Drosophila melanogaster: one gene and its partners. The protein of the gene in region 2 purifies or fractionates together with the protein of the main gene of each other region. This does not show direct contact. Each region holds a gene or a part of one and is shown on either strand. Other genes may lie near its edges.

Region 1 (6,007 bases), on a different chromosome or scaffold from region 2:
AAAGGTATTAAAAAGCGATTTTATTGCGTAAACAAATGCGATTGGAAATGTGGGCAATGATAGGCCAGCACATCCAATTTCAAATTGACCTGCATCTCAAGTGTGGTTCTGTGGATTGGTGGCTATCTTTTGGAGAGGGCAAGCAAGACGCTACTGCTGCCCACATCCATTCCTTGATGGATTGCAGCTGTGTCGGTTGTCGGTTTCCCATTTAAATTATAATTAGAAGCATTCGAGGCATCTTTATGTTTGGTAATAAAGTTCCCTTCGCGGAGGAGTTGCATATGTTTGGATTATTTATTTTTGGACTTGCCCACATTAATTAAGAAAGACGTCTCTGTCCACTCGAGTGATCTATATGTCTGAAGGTGTTTGAAACGTGTGCCACACATGCATCCGTTCCCCAATCGAGTGAGGAAATATTTAAGCATTTTCCAATTACATTTTTCACAGATGGAAATCTAATTAGATCGCATGCATATATAGCGATGTGCCAAGGCGATGCATTCAACGTTTGAATAATAAGCCTTTTCCAACTTATATCGTAGATCATACAGTAAATGTCGGCTTACATATATGCAAACTTTTTAAATTTTATTTAAAATATATTTATTGCAATATTTGCTTTAAAAAAAAAAGAGTTATTTCCCATTTATATTAAGTTTAAATTGTAATTTACATACAATTCAAGTCCGTACTGTATTTTGAACGACTGAAAAATATATTTTCCATATTACACATACGCCATGTGGGTCAGGCCGTAACGCTTGACAAAGTTTTCACAATATTAGCGGAAAATGCTTGTGAAAAAGTTATCCAATTCCCGGCCACATGGTGGTTTGAACGTCCTTGAACTTGTCAGGACAAAGACAACAACAACACATTCAGGAAGTACCAGCACAGCGATAAGGATATCGGGATAACAAGTTTGCACCTATAACCATGACAACGGATTTTCTTTGAGTGTGCGTGAAAAACGAAAACGAAAGTCTTTTACATTCCTTGCAAACATTTCAATTTGTTGCTATAGTTTGGACCTCTTTTGTGGGCCGTTGTTTGGGTGTGACACACATTTCAGTTGGATCGTCTGAGGTTTTTGCACTTCGGCGACTAATAACAACAATGCCACTCCCCTTTGGAACGGGAAAAGGGGCGAAGGACCTAGCCCAACGTCTCTGTTAATGGCGCTGACGCCTTTCCTTTGATTTTCCACAAGATATTGTCGATAAACCCTCAATAATGGCACGCATATTGGCGAAAATGATTAAATTAATAGCTTTGCCTGGCGCAGAATTGACAGTGAAATATGTTGGACAAAAATAAATTCGGATTGGAGAAAGGATTTTCTTTTGCGTTGCTATGAAGAAAGGTTATTTCATTTAAAGGGTTTAGTTTAATATAAATTCTTAAACGCTTGCATTTAACATTTTCATATTTTATATAAAAATTTACATATGAACACACAATTTATATGATTGTGAAGTAGATGATGAATTGCTTTATATCCTATACCCGCATTTTATTTGATTTACAAACCAAATCTTTTACAGCATTATTCTTTCAAATAGTAATTCTAATAAATAATATTCAAGAACAATTAAGAATGAGATCGTATCGTAACTAAATTTATAGAAAATATGGTAAATACTGTATAATTTTCTCTAAGTACACTGCAATGCAAAAAAAATCCACTAATTTGGTTCATTATCATGCGGTTTCGAATGATATTAACACACTTTGGCTGGCGAGTGATGCAAATGTCACTGGGCGATGCTAAAGATCACATTGCGGACAATAACTGAACTCACATGCAATTTCCCCATTTCGCTGCCCGCCACTCATTCGATTCAATTCAGCGATGAAGAAGTTATCTCAATTAAATGCAATTTACAATCACTTAAAAAGTCCATATATCGACAATGGCTATTGAGGGTTACATTGTGCAAACTTCTACGTATATGCAAATGTTTCGTAGATTTTTTTAAACAATTTTATGGGATCACAGGCACTGACACTGCACTCTTATCTTTATAGAGCTATAAATGTGCGGAAAACCGAAAAACGACGACGCGACCGCCTGCAGTGCAGGTTCTTTTATAAATAAAACGCCCGAAGAGACATTCAATTGAAATCAGTCACTCAATCCGAGGAAAATCAAAAGAAAAGCGTTGGAAAAGAGCAGCCACGGGAGAGGCCGAGCGATTGAGAGCGAGTGCCGCGGAAATTTGCAACGCGGTTCCAAGCGGTTCCGTGCACCGAATGTTCGCTCCCATTTTTTATTTATAAACAAAATGTGTGTGTGGAACATAAATTTGTTTGGAAGATGGTGATAAATGCAAAAGAGTAGTTTTAAAAGCATTTAGAACTATTGTTTTACGATTCGCGATTGCGATTGATACTGAAGTAGCTATATATATAAGTACTTAGAATTAGTATTATAATCAGAATTAATGTCCCTCAAAAACTGTTATATTTCATTTTTTATAGTTAGTAATTTATAATTATTCTATAATCATCATAAAACATTTTAAGTTAAGTTTAAAAACTTGAAGTTCAAATTTTATTTTAAAATTTGTATACAATAACAATTTAATATAAGAAATTCGAGCCATTAATCATTTCGATGAATATTAAAAATTTTTGATCATTTTCGTATACATTATCCAAAAATTTTCATCGTATTGCGGTACATGTATTAGATTTATTCAGCAACAAGTTGCAGAAACATTCTTTCCTCAACAAAATCGATAAGCGAATCGGTTATTGTAGCGAGACATTTTTTCAAAAATATGAATATTGATGTTTATAATAAACAGGGAAACAGTAGCCAAGATTCACTAATAAATGTATTAGTTATTTAACAAAGCAATTAAAACCGCATAATGTGGACAATTCAATTATAATTTTCACTTAAAAAGTTGCTCTATAATAATAAAAAGTATGCTATTCAATGATATAAAATATAATACTTATTTAAAAAATAAAATATTATTTAAAATTCCTAATCCGTTGGGTATTTTTCACTGTAGATTGTTTACAGATTTCGGAAGGGCCTTGTGGTCTTCTAATCGAAAGTTCAAAGGCGCATTCAATTTCGATTTCATTTGTAAACACACTTGAAAAACAACATGTTCTGTTTGTGGATCGTAATGAATTGAAAACACACATATCAAGGCGCATTCAACCCACATTTTGTGGATTTTATGCACAATCCGAGAGCACAGATGATGGATGTTCGGCTCCCAAATGGGTTAATACTTTAATGGATACCCCTGATTGTTTGGCTTACCCAATCGTATATAGTGTACAGATTCATGGTGACTGCACTTGAACCAAATAATTTATGGCCTATTCCCTGTTTTTTGGCCGCCTTTGTTGACACTTGCGCCTGTCAGTTGGCTATATCTATAGGCATTCTAGATGTGGCCCAAATGCGATCCATTTTCTTGTTGATGTTTTTACGTAGTGGTTTTGATGACACTATATTTTAGAATTTTTTCGGGTTGACTTGCTTACAAACACAGACGAATGCAACGAACCGAATAATTTTGTAGGTTAGGTTGGAGACTTTACGTAAAATTTGATATTTTTTTAATTTAAAGTTTAACACGAAGACAACACAATGGGGGAAACTAGCTACTTAAAGCGTGAACTCTTAATTTATCATTATGTGATTTTCAATGCTCCTCGAGGGAGAAAGAACCGACAAATTTGAAACTTAAAAACAAAAAAAAACCAATAGTGCAACCGATCTGAAACAGTTGCACGTAATAGCGAGCGCGATGCAACTGAGAACCAAATCCATTGCGAAGAGTCTTTATATTTTTGGGGTATCGGGGGATATCCACGCTCTTTTTCTCCCCATCCAGATACTGTAATGCTCAGTGAAGCACAACAAGAGATTGTTTAAAAATAATCAATCGTAAACAAAATTTGTTGCAGTGGCATTGAGTTGGGGAGAGTCCAAAAGAGAGAATTCAATGTACTACTACCAGATCGCGAGAGAAACAAAGAGAAATCCGAGAGATAAAGGGGAGGAAAGTAATTAAGTTTTATCGGTTGTTCTATAAATAAGTTTTAACCAGAGATTAAGGAACTACAAGATATATTCGATAAGGAATGATTTAAGGAAGTGAGAACACATTTATGGGTATAAATGAGACATTTATTTATAGGCTAGGGAAATATAAAGCTTTCTTTTCATTTCAATTATTCAAAAAATCTGAAATGCTACAAGAGCATTAATAATGTTTTGAGAAAAATATTGGAAGTTCAACGAAATATTTGAATGCTTAAATATCAATAAAAACGCACTCGCATATATTTTAATATAAAATATTTATTTTTATCTATTTGTTATTGCTTGTCGGTAGTTAGTCTTAAGAAAACTCGGTGAATATATCAGTATCCAATCGGTATATTCATATAAAAATATCATTCGATTAGGGTAAATATCCTTTATACACTTATTAGTTAGCTAGTCAGTTATTTGTTTATAAATGCTGTTAACTATATAAAATATTTCCATATTTTCTAGGCATCCTGTTGTAAGGCGATTTCTGTCCCCCTCGGGGATAATATTGTCCTGTGTTTTTTGTACTTTAAAAATTCAATACAAAATTTGAATGTCGTTCGATAAATTGCTTTCAATACGTCAGTTTTCAATTTGGCAGATCTTTTGAGCATTGTTATTTTCTTGATCCTAAATAATTTGGCTAACGAACTTAAAATTCGAAAGGAGTCCAATAGTTTGAGCTGCTTTTGCTTTGTAGTTTCTCAGTGCTACAAAATTAGTTTAGTTAATCACATTAAAAGGTGAAAGTGCATGAGAATTCCGTACAACCTTATAGGTCAATTAGGATTTCCGCCCTCCTTTTGCTTAAACTTGGTGGAGTATTTGTAGAAATCGGACATCTCGAAGGGTTTCGTCACTTCCTTGTACGGCTGGAAAGTGGCCTGCTGAACTACGGTCATGTTTTTGGGCGACTCGATGCGAATTTCCGGCGATAAACTGGCTGTGGCCACTGTTACTGGCGGTGACACAAGCGCTGTTTGGACAGCATTCCCATGAGCAAGTCCGCTTGAACTGCCATTACCACTGTGACTTAGGTTCTGGTTCTGAGTATGAGCCTGATTTGCGGGTGGCGGTCTGGGCGGCGGCGTTGGCTGCTGCATTTGACTTGGCTTGGGTGGTAAGTTTCGCAGTGCTGGTATGTCCAGAGGTTCCAGCGGATACGATACCGATATCCCCAAAGTTTGCTCCATTGCATTGAGATACGAAGTCGATTGACTTAGCAGGGCTTTCGAACTGGTATTCACCGCATAGCTGGCACTGGGATAATTCGGAGTCGGTCGCTGGTTGGACATGGAATAGTGACGACCCGCTACCGACATGGACTGCGAGGAGAGCTTAGCGCGGGGTTTACTTGAAACCATGGCAGCTGCGCCGGGATTACTACTCCCATTACTACTCCCAGCTGGACTGTGGGGCTGTGAATCCATCTGCCTGATAACAGCTGGCCCATCTAGCGAAGATTCCAGCCACTGCTTGGGCTTGGGCTTCTTCTCAATGGTCGTGGACGAGGATGACAGTGAGATCTCATCGTGCGGCGGATAGCGGCTGGGTGGCATAGGCACCGCCAGCATATCGCTGGAGTGCGATTTCACCTCTATTATGCCCAATTGTGGAGGAGTTAAGGGCGCTATGTGTGACTGGGAACGCCATCGATATTGCTGCTGATGCTGGGCAGCTTCCATATCGACGGAAACATAGCTGGGCGCAAGGGATATAGCATCTAGTTGTCGCTGGTGATGTAAAGGATTACGCTGTTGCTGCTGCTCGTAGCTGATATTACTGGGCGATGCCATTGGGGACACATATTTCTTGATGTTCTGACTTGATTTAATAAAGCCGCCCTCATTGTAACTTTGATGCGTGGGCGATAGGTAATATTTATCGCACTGCACTATAATTGGTTGCTGCTGGGGCGCCACTTGTGGCGGTTGC
Region 2 (5,183 bases):
TTTAATATCTTGATACGCCTCCTTAATCTTAAATTGTAATAAATAAAATAAAATCGAATCTTGTATAACAACAAATATCTTGTTGTAAAATAATAGTTCATACCTGCATAATTCCAAGCTGGTAACGAACGCGATTGTAATCGATATACGATATATGTATGGGAAGAACAAGAAACATAACAATAATAAATAAACGTAAAGACCCCAGACTCAAATTTAAATTAATTGTATTATCTTGAGAACAAACTTCACATGGGCATGATGGACAACAATGGCGTCGGCAAGCTGACACAAGAATCTCTAAAACGCAAGGAGCGTCTGCAAAAACTCCGGGAACAAGTGCAAAACAAAGGAGGAGACGCTGCCGAGTCCATTGAAAAGTTACCCAAGTCAGCAATACAATGAAATGCTATTATGAATCCCTATAAACCAGTTTCATATATCTTTGCAGACCAGTTTTCCGCAGCTACAAGCCCCAGAATGAGACCACCGATGGCGAGATTCTAGCACAGGAACCCACGGGCAACATAGAATCAGCTGTGGAGGATCAATTGAGTCTGCTCCAGCAGCCCATGGTGATAGATGAGATTGACATAACCAACCTGGCTCCCCGAAAACCCGACTGGGATCTGAAGCGGGATGCCAGCAAAAAGTTGGAGCGACTGGAACGACGTACCCAGAAAGCTATTGCTGAACTCATCCGTGAGCGACTGAAACTGAACCAAATGGAGGATATCAGCCAAGCGGTGAATGTGGCCACGGCTCATGCAGGTGAAAGTGTTCAGGAGGATTATGACTAGAGCTGAATAATACAACTAACTTTACTAAACTGGTACAAAAAACGAAAAAATGCATTAACAATAAGTAAAACTATCGCCGATTTTCTTTGCCCGTGGGTATTGCAAGCCGTTCTTTTAGAATGAGGATTTCTGAAAAGAGCAAGTTGTAAGTAGGTACACTTAAAGATTGGGGTCTCAGCTTACGTTTGGAATACTTCTGCTCCAGTCCCTGGGCAAAGTTACGCATGGATTGCAGTTGCTGGGGGATTTCCTCCCTCAGTTTTTCAATAGTTATTCGAGCCTCGCGCAGCTCATTCTCCCGCAGGGATAGTAGGCTCTCCTTGGCCTGAACCGCCTTCTCTTGCTGCAGAGCCACCTCTGTGCGCCAGGCAATGGTCTTTTTGAGGTTGAGCAGCTCCTGGCTTTGTTTAACGATTATCTGGTTGGCCTTGGAGATCTCCTCGGAGGCCATTTCCAAAGCCTGGCGCTTGGTGTGCAGGATCTTCTTCTCGGCCTCCAGTTCAGCGGCTATGTTGGCCTGCAAAATTAAAAGGGATATACTCTTCTGATGTGCATTATTCTTTTTATACACATACCTTCTCTTTGTTTCCCTTTTGAATATGTTCCTGCAGCTCGACAGTGTGCTGCTTGAGGTCCTCGATTTTGTACTCCAACTTGCGTTCATGCTTCCTGATATTGGCCACATCCCCGTGCAGTTTGTCATTTTGCTCTTTTAGGGTGCACACTCTGGCTTTGCAACAGGACAACTCCTCGGACAGGGTTTGACATCGTTTCTCGGCCTGCTCTTGGGCCGACTTTAGTTCTGCTTTCTCCAACGAAGCCTTGTCCAATTGGGCCTGAAAGCCGGAGATCGCTCTACGATTTCTCTCCAGCTCATTGCTGCGCTGCTCGTTTATTTTGGACAGTTTTTCCTGGTATTGATGGACCTCGGCAGCATGCTTTTCCTCTAAGATGCGAGTATTTTCGGCCAAAGCTTCCCTGATATTTGTGTTTTCCGTGGTCAACCTTTCCGCATGCGCGCGTTGTGCGTTGATTTCAGCCTGCATTTGCTGCATACTTTGCTCGAGAATATATTGCTTTTTGTGGGAGGCTTCCAGCATGCTGTTTATGTAGAAGAGTACGGTGTTCAAGGGAGCAGAACGACAAGGCAGGCTAAGGTGAACTAGGTTCTTAAAGGACCGAATTTCAACAAACTGAAGATAATAGTCGTGGACCTCCCTGCCGGATGAAAGGTTCTGATCCCGTGTGGTCAGGTGCAGCTCCAGTTTACCCGACTGGCAGTCCTTCAGCATGCGCACTACATTGTCAATGAACCCAGAGAATGACACATTCAGCGACTGATCCTGTTTAAGATCCTGAAAGGAGGCGCTGTCCACTGTGGTGATGTACATGCGCCGTTGATCGGACTTCTCCGTTAATCGGAGTTGCTGTGGGGCAGAGGATGTATTGAAATTTGATCGGAGGAGGTCTTGACAAGCATATTTACCAGCAGCTCCTTGAAGTCCACTCTCTCCGCGTACAGTAGACATGACCGTTTGCTAGACCGCGTCATTTCGCCATTAAAGTTCACCAGCATCTCTACGCTGGGCAGGATGTTCACCACGCTCTTGCCATAGTCCATTTTGGCGGAGTAGCTATCCTCGCTCCCTGGAGGCCACATGATAGATCAGGCTCGTGAGAAACCTTAATTTTTAAAATTTTAAAATTGGTAAACAAAAGTGATGGCTTGGGTCTATCGATGTCGATAGCTACCGATATGGCCGTGGAAGTAGCCATCGCTGGTCACACTGCCGGTCAGGTGCACAGTTGTCCATCTCCATTTCAATAAAAGAAAAAAACAGCGAAAAGTTGTAGAGAAAAATAAATACATGAATACTGTACGTAAGAAAGAGGCAGCGCCGCCGGATTGTCCATAGTAATCCGGAGTAATGCTAGCTTTATCCTGCAGACCGCCAAGGTGTTCGTCGGCAGCCTGCCGCGCTGCAAGCCGGAGGAGCTGCGTCGACTGTTCACCAACTATGGATCGGTCGTTGAGTGCGACGTGATGAATCGCTGCGCCTTCGTCCATCTGGAGAACACGGACATGGCGGAGGCGGCCATCGCAGCGCTGAATGGCACCATCTTCAAGGGCCAGCCCATTGTGGTGGAGGCGGGCAGGCCAAAGTACGGCCCGGGAGGTGGCAGTCGAGGTCAGCCGGGCTCTGGGGACAATCCGGGGCGCAGGCCCTCGCAGGGTAAGCTTTGATCACTCCAAAGATCCAGCATCTAAGTATTTCATCATCCTCAGTTCAAGGTGGCGGGGCGGACAAGAGACCTCATGAATCCAATACCAACTTCAAGCGCAACTTTCGTGAGGAAGTCGGTGGCAGATTCTCCAACGAAGGCCCAAGGAGCTCGAACTCCTCGGCCGCCAAATTTGGTCCCGTGAGAAACGAGTCCAACTACAGACAACAGCGCAGTGCTCCATACTCGAAAGGACCACCGAACAATGAGTCTTCCAATCAGGGACAGGGCTTTAGGAACAAATTTGCAGGCGGAGGCAAGTTCGGTGGAAGCGCGGGCAACGAGGGACGCTTCGGCAGCAATCGGTTTCAGCAGCGGGACAACAGTGGACCACAGCCTGGCAGAAGAAACTTTAAGAACAGTCCAACCAGCGGATATAGGGGAGGAGGCAATAATAGTGACTTTCAGGGAGGCAGCTCCAGCAGCGGGGGAGGAGGATCCGTAAATCAGAGGGCCGGCGGCGGCGGCCCAGGTCCAAGCCATGTGCGACAGGATCGACGTGGATTTGCCCTGCCTGTAGAGCATCAGCAGCAGCAAATGGGCTTCGGACGCTTTGGCAATGGACCAATGAACTCTGGCAATCGTGGGACTAATGGGTAAGTTGTGCATAAGATTGGGTTCTAAATTATATATAATATCTTGTTTTGCCATATAGAGGAAATCCACCGGGAGGACGTGGATTTTTCAATGGAGGAGGAGGCGGATTCAATGACAGACGCGATAGCAGTCACGAGACAAGCAGTCCCCAAGGAGGCCCAAGCAAACGCGGAGGTTCAGGAGGTAGAAATCACAATCAGAATGGCATAAATGCATATCACTCGGAGTTCCCGCCCTTGGGCAGTGGCGGCGGAGGTCCAGGCCAAAGAAACCGGTAGGTTCATTCATATCGTCTGCATAAAAACCACTAACCCCAATCATCGCCATTTCCAGCTTCAACGGGCCCAGACCCGGGCCAAATATGGGCGGCAATAGAAGATTTTAAGCAAGTGCAATGCAGCAACGATGTTTGCCAGTCCACGTGTACTCCACTTAATAATGTAATAGCCGAATTTTGTTTTTCATTGTTCCGCGCGCAGAATCTTTTAGTTAAGCCAACGACGACGACTTTTAATTTGTCCTATAGCCGTGTACTTTTAAGACCAACATCAACAGTATATTTGTTATTCGTAGTCTAAGATTGTTTCGATATTTATGCAATACTTAAATAATCATATTTCTTGTGTGCAACTAGATACGACGAGTCAATCAATCAATACAATCATAAACACCATTTGCGTTTTTAAATCATCCCGCCAAAAGATTACTGTTAGGGTCTAGGGTTGGTTGGGGACAACTATCGTTATCGAGACTTCGAAGCTTTGTGTGGTTATCAAACAGGTCCCCAAAATTATAAACAAAGAAATCAGAAATTTGGTAAACTTCAGACTGCCTGCTGTATATATGCGAACGACGAACGAACAGATCGCCAGTTATACGGTCGAGGTAAGGGAACTAATACCCGTTATAGCCGTAGACCAAACGCCGTAACCTGTATTCGCATGCTCACATATGTTTTCCCGCAGTCGCTGTGGTTCACTTGTAACAAGTGTGGCTCGCAAAATGTGGAACCACCCAAGCCAGCGCTGGCTCATCTTGATCTGCGTTATATGTTTGCTGTCTTTTGCGCTGGCCAATTCGCTTCATGGCTATGCTAATGCTGAAGGTCATCCAGTGGAGATTTCGGCCACATTGCCAGGCCAGCTGAAGTTTGTGCATGTCGTAAGAGTTGCTATGTCTATGTGTGCGTAGCTCCCGCTTTATCGGTTATGCTTTGCAGATATATCGCCACGGCGACAGAACGCCCGTGGATCCCTATCCCACGGACCCCTGGGGCGACAGGAAGTTCTGGCCCACCGGCTGGGGAGATTTGACCAATGTAAGTAAGGCTCGCACTAGTGACGGACCCAGGCTAACACGGATTTCGACCTTTAGTTGGGCAAGCAAGAGCACTACGACCTGGGAAAATGGCTGCGGAATCGCTATTCAAACCTCCTACCGCCTATATACTCCAACGAGAACATCTACGTTCAGTCCACCGACGTGGATCGCACATTGATGAGT
Region 3 (5,006 bases), on a different chromosome or scaffold from region 2:
GTATTTTTTAGAATAGTACGCCTTCCGATATTTTGTGTTATTTTCCGTTTCATTTGGTAATTGCCTCAAAAGGCTTTTGTTTAGATTGTAGTGCTGAAGAATCTTTTTCTTTGTCTTAAAAGTAAATAAATTTGCGCAGCTGAAACTGTTTTGTTTTAGCGAAATAAGTATGTATACTTTAAGATGGCTATCTATTTTCTTAGAATTAGATTTTACTTGGTAACTGCCTAGTTCCTTATCAAAAGATTAAGATTTAAATATCCCACATATATGTTGCTAAACTTATCTTTTAAATGGTGACTACTCATTTATCCAAAGAAACAACAATGACGACATTGAATCGGGCATAAAGCGGCAGAATGAGGTGCTAGTGCCCCGGCAGCACTTTGTTTGGGTTATTTTGGGAGCCCGCAATATATGATGGGCGGTGGTGAAGTGAGGGATTCGGAGTGGGGACAGGTAATGAGGAAGCCGAAACAGGTTTGCACAGACTTAGCCGTGCGGTGAGGTAAATTGTTAGTCAGCATCAGCCCCGACCGCGTACCCACATTATGGACAAATTGTTTGCTCATATTCGCCGCTATTGAAAGTGGGCACGTACATACGTACGTATGGCTCGAGGGACCAGCTTTAACCGAAGACAGGTAGTCAGGGTCATGTTTGTGTGCGACGATGATGATGATGATAATAATAATGTAATGATGATGATGCCGACGATCGTGCTGATAAGGTCACCACCGGGTGCACCTCCCCATATCTCCTCTATGAATCCACAGATCATCATGATGCAACGCTGTTTGCGTCTCCAAAAGCCGCTGGCCCTACGACGAGGCCTTCGCTTGGCCCAGGCTAATAGCCAAGCGGTGGCCACAGAAGCACCCGAGGCGGAACCTCTGGATGCCTTCGAGCGTCAGTACCTCAAGGAGCGAATCGAGATATCGCCCTTCCAGCGGCTGTTCCTGGGGGCAGGATCCTCCATTGCCGCGCTCTTGAATCCAAGACGGTAGGGCATCTGATGAAATTTAAAAATCTCTTAAAACTCTTAATTATTATTATGAAGTCATGACATGATCGCCTGTTTGGGTGAGACGACTGGAGAGGATGCTCTATGGACAATTTTGGACACCATGCAAGCCAGCGAGGAGGGTCAGCGCATCATGGCTGATAAGCCCCGCATCCACACCAGCACCATTGACTTCAAGTATCTGGAAACTTTGCCACCGGATACCTTTGGAGCCGCTTACGTAAAGTTTCTGAAAGATAATGTAAGTAGTTCAAAGAATCCGGTAAGAAAAAGCGTTAGTAACCATAAAACGACGAAAATCTGGTTCAAAGACATTCCTAAGAGAATTTGGACAGTGAATGTCATGGTCGAATTTGAAGTTGGTAACAATTGAAAATCTTAAAAATTATTGTCTCATAAACATACTTGCATATAAAAGATATATTTAGATGGAAAATAAAATAATAATTGCTTTTGTCCATCGCTTCAACGATTATTTTGGTAATCAATTTTCAGCAAGTCACGCCGGACAGTCGCATGGCCGTGCGGTTTTTGGAGGACCCGAAGTTGGCCTACTTGATGACGCGATATCGCGAATGCCACGACCTAATCCACACGGTGCTGGACATGCCCACCAATATGCTGGGCGAGGTGGCTGTCAAGTGGGTGGAGGCTCTGAACACGGGCCTGCCCATGTGCTACGGTGGTGCGGTATTCGGAGCAGTTCGCCTACGTCCCAAGTGAGTTCAGTGAACTGGGTTCTCTAATTATAGCTCCCCATTCACGCGTTTGTTTATTTTCTCCTCCACTTAGGCAGCGGCGTGCGTACTTGAAGCATTACTTGCCGTGGGCCCTGGAGAACGGCAAGCGGACCAAGCCCTTGATGCCCGTCTACTGGGAGAAGCGCTGGGAGCAGAACATCCACGAGCTGCGCTCCGAATTGGGCATTACTGTGCTGAATAAAGCTTGATAAGGCTGTTTATTTTTAAGCCCATTTTTAAATTTTGAACTTATCGACTATTAGTATCGAGCAGTCCTATCGCGATCGTAGAATTGTGATCTGGCAACGTCGTGTAACGTCGAACTGATTGTAGATGTTTCCACTTACAAAGAAAATTATTATTTGATTATAGCAATAAATATAAAAGTTGATGCAGTTTGCCGAAATAATTTAAAGATCGAGAAAAAAACTTTATATTATTTTTTATATTAGAATTTGAGCACAGTGAGAACAGTCAATTTCCGCGAATGATCGCATCAAAACTTAACCCGATGTGGCAACTCCACTCGTTCTGTTTGCATTTGCTGATGTGTTGTTTTGTTTTTTTCGGTCGATCGTCTTAATGGCTAATTATCCCTAAGTTAAACACCATGACTGAGAAATTCAATGGTTTTAGCCACGACGAGATCCTCAAGATAACGGGCGTGAAGGAGGGCGGTGTGGGCAAAAGGCCTGCGAGTCTGGAAGCAGGTTAGATCACTAAGCATGAACCCCAAAGCGTGTAAACAATTATCTGTTTATAATAAAAACCTTTGCCTATGTGTGCGTGAGCAGCGAAGCCGGCGCTCCGAATTCAACCCGGCATTCGGCGTATGCCCGATAAGATCTTCCGGCAAGCGGATCAGTTACGGAAGCAGCAGCAGCAGCAACCACAGCAACCCATACAAAAACCGGATGTGGCGAAGAAGACCAAATCGGGAACAGCGACTCCCACGGAAAAGCCACCGACTCCCACTCCCGCGGCGGAGGATGACGTAGCGAACGGATCGCTAAATTTGGACCGCCCACTCTCCGATTCATTAATAGAGGCACTCTACCATGGAAATGCTACAGCTAGAGATAAGAAAACTCCCGCCACGTATGCAGATGCTGAAACAACGTCCACCGACGACAGTTCGATTCTGAAGATCAGCGGCGGTGACAGCCAGACAACTAGCTCCACCGATGATGGCAGCATCCTGCCGAGTACCCAGGACACCTCGCCGCGGGAGCGCCTCAACACAGACTCACCTTTCAAGGGCATCTCGCTGAAGGACTTCGAACAGCATCGCCGCATGATCGAGGAGCAGAACAAGCAGAAGAAGCAAATGCTGTACCAGGCCATCGAGCAGCACACCCAGAAGACGGCGGCGGAGTCGCGAAAGATCGAGGAGATCCGCCACGAGCTGTCCAAGCTGGAAAGTGATCTGGCCGTGGACGTAGCTCTGCTGAGGAAGCAGATCGACAATGCCTGCATACATTTTGCCAATGTAGAGTAAGTGGCGAAGCCAAATACTTGTGTGTTTCCCTTATTAATATTTATGTTACACAGAAAACAATACGTCAAAATCGAGGCTCAGTTCTTGCGGGCCAAGATAGAGCTGCACAATGCATCCGAAAAGAAGGAGCTGCTCACAGAGCATCTATGCACAGTAATTGCCCACAACGAGGACCGTAAAGCGCAAAAGCTTACTGAATTGATGCAGAAAGTGGGTCTGTCGCCAACCGATGATTGCCAACCGATTGATTTAACTCAACAAAGCCCCTAAACACGTAACACGTGTAAATTCAACTTCAAATCATCTTTAATTCGAATTTTCAGCGGTGTTTGCTTAACTTGACCAAAAGTATCAATTTGTTGCTCCCTGAAATATTATATTTTTTAAATTGGAAAATTATGTACTAATTTTCCATCGGCTATATTGTATTGGAATTGTAAACATAAAACACGCCTGAAATATGTCGAATGCGCTCTAATATTAGCATGTAATTAATGTTCATAGCCTAAGTGATGAAGTGCAAATTGCAAATAAAATATGTATATGTTATGTGTAAAATTAAAGTGTAATTACTGAAACTGAGTAGTTGGAACTGCGACCTAAATAAAAATAAGGGTATTAAAAAGCGAACATTCTTCAATAATGTTATTGTTTGGCTTTGACTATGTGGCAACACCGTTAGCTGCGGCAACAGCTGATCGTTTTCAGAGTTTAATAAACGTGCAAGCTGAACAATACAATCGGAAATAAGTGTTTCTAAACAGAATACAATAAATTAAGCATTTATAATGGCAGGCCGCGGAAGGGGCGGCAAGACAGGCACCCTCACGGCGGAGCAAATGGCCATGTTGGGATGCACAAAGGATATGCCGGTGCAGACGGCGCCGCCACCTACATTTCCGCCTGTTTTGAACAGACCCACTACCCTAGAAGTGGGTACAAATCCATTTACATTAGTTTAAAAAACATCGATCAACTTTTTACCTGTTTTACTTCGATAGACAACAGCCACACAGAACTATCAGCTCCTGTGGAAGGAGGACTTTCTGAACCGAATGCGAGATTCCCCCTATTACATGATCTCCGCCAGTCGGGACGCAAAAAACCTTGATCACAAGGACTGGCGAGAAGTAATAATACTGGCTATTTTAAATTAGCTGCTTATAATCCTGCTTTTACACCCCCAGAAAGCCATGGAGCGCATGAAGCTCACAGCACAACCCGATTTTAACTACAAAGCCATGCCCCAAGAGCTAAACATCTCCAGTCGAAAACGTCGTGGAGCAGATGCAAGGCCGAATCTGCTGACCAAGAAGACAAACATCGAGGACAGACTGAAGGTTCTGGAGCAGAAAGAACTGAAATCAGGTGGCGGTGAGCAGGACGAGAACAAACAAGAGTCCGATTCCGAACAGGAGGAGGAGGAAGATCCGGAGGCGGCGTTGGATGATGAGATGGACGAGGACAACGACTACGGTGCAACGTACTTTGATAATGGAGAAGCCTTCAATGATGAGGACGACAACTTGGACGATGGTCCCGTTTACTGAGACAAATAAAACCATCGAACTGATTACTTTCGGATCTGTGATTTACTATGTCGCCACTTTAAGCTTATTTAACACAAATGTTGGATTAATTTACACGTAAGGGAACGCTGGCTTAGTCCAGGCTCTTGGGCGCGTAGTAGTTGAAGTGGATGATACCAGAAGATTTCACCTGCAAAGCGTATTTCAATAAGACC

The links. Proteins that work in one complex are often made in the same cells at the same time.
Region 1: the proteins of Sas-6 (region 2) and Plp purify together in Drosophila melanogaster (affinity purification with western blotting, with the first as the bait; one study listed by BioGRID). This does not show direct contact.
Region 3: the proteins of Sas-6 (region 2) and Gorab purify together in Drosophila melanogaster (affinity purification with western blotting; one study listed by BioGRID). This does not show direct contact.

The regions. Positions count from the first base shown.
Region 1 is NT_037436.4:15,086,503-15,092,509, forward strand, and holds the start of Plp (Pericentrin-like protein), read right to left. Parts: upstream 3,692-6,007; 5' UTR 3,317-3,691; coding exon 3,290-3,316; intron 2,052-3,289; exon of another isoform or gene 1,824-2,051; coding exon of another isoform or gene 1,809-1,823; intron 1-1,808. Other genes in the region: sstn (stepping stone), read right to left, coding at 4,852-6,007.
Region 2 is NT_033777.3:29,992,644-29,997,826, reverse strand, and holds Sas-6 (spindle assembly abnormal 6), read right to left. Parts: upstream 2,471-5,183; 5' UTR 2,461-2,470; coding exon 2,287-2,460; intron 2,228-2,286; coding exon 1,376-2,227; intron 1,318-1,375; coding exon 984-1,317; intron 930-983; coding exon 871-929; 3' UTR 801-870; downstream 1-800. Other genes in the region: CG15525 (uncharacterized protein), read left to right, coding at 253-389, 452-800; CG7903 (uncharacterized protein), read left to right, coding at 2,669-2,677, 2,749-3,034, 3,088-3,679, 3,739-3,954, 4,014-4,065; Acph-1 (acid phosphatase 1), read left to right, coding at 4,632-4,841, 4,900-4,998, 5,055-5,183. UniProt on the Drosophila melanogaster protein: Central scaffolding component of the centrioles ensuring their 9-fold symmetry. Required for centrosome biogenesis and duplication. In ciliated neurons, required for centriole assembly but not necessary for cilium basal body and cilia function.
Region 3 is NT_037436.4:17,426,114-17,431,119, reverse strand, and holds Gorab (Golgin, RAB6 interacting), read left to right. Parts: upstream 1-2,283; 5' UTR 2,284-2,374; coding exon 2,375-2,474; intron 2,475-2,558; coding exon 2,559-3,258; intron 3,259-3,315; coding exon 3,316-3,532; 3' UTR 3,533-3,815; downstream 3,816-5,006. Other genes in the region: Coq4 (coenzyme Q4), read left to right, coding at 783-1,003, 1,061-1,265, 1,520-1,743, 1,817-1,973; Polr3G (RNA polymerase III subunit G), read left to right, coding at 4,051-4,194, 4,264-4,392, 4,450-4,812; COX7B (cytochrome c oxidase subunit 7B), read right to left, coding at 4,925-4,981. UniProt on the Drosophila melanogaster protein: Required for centriole duplication likely through its interaction with Sas-6. During embryogenesis, maternally provided protein is required for centrosome duplication and nuclear division cycles of the syncytial embryos.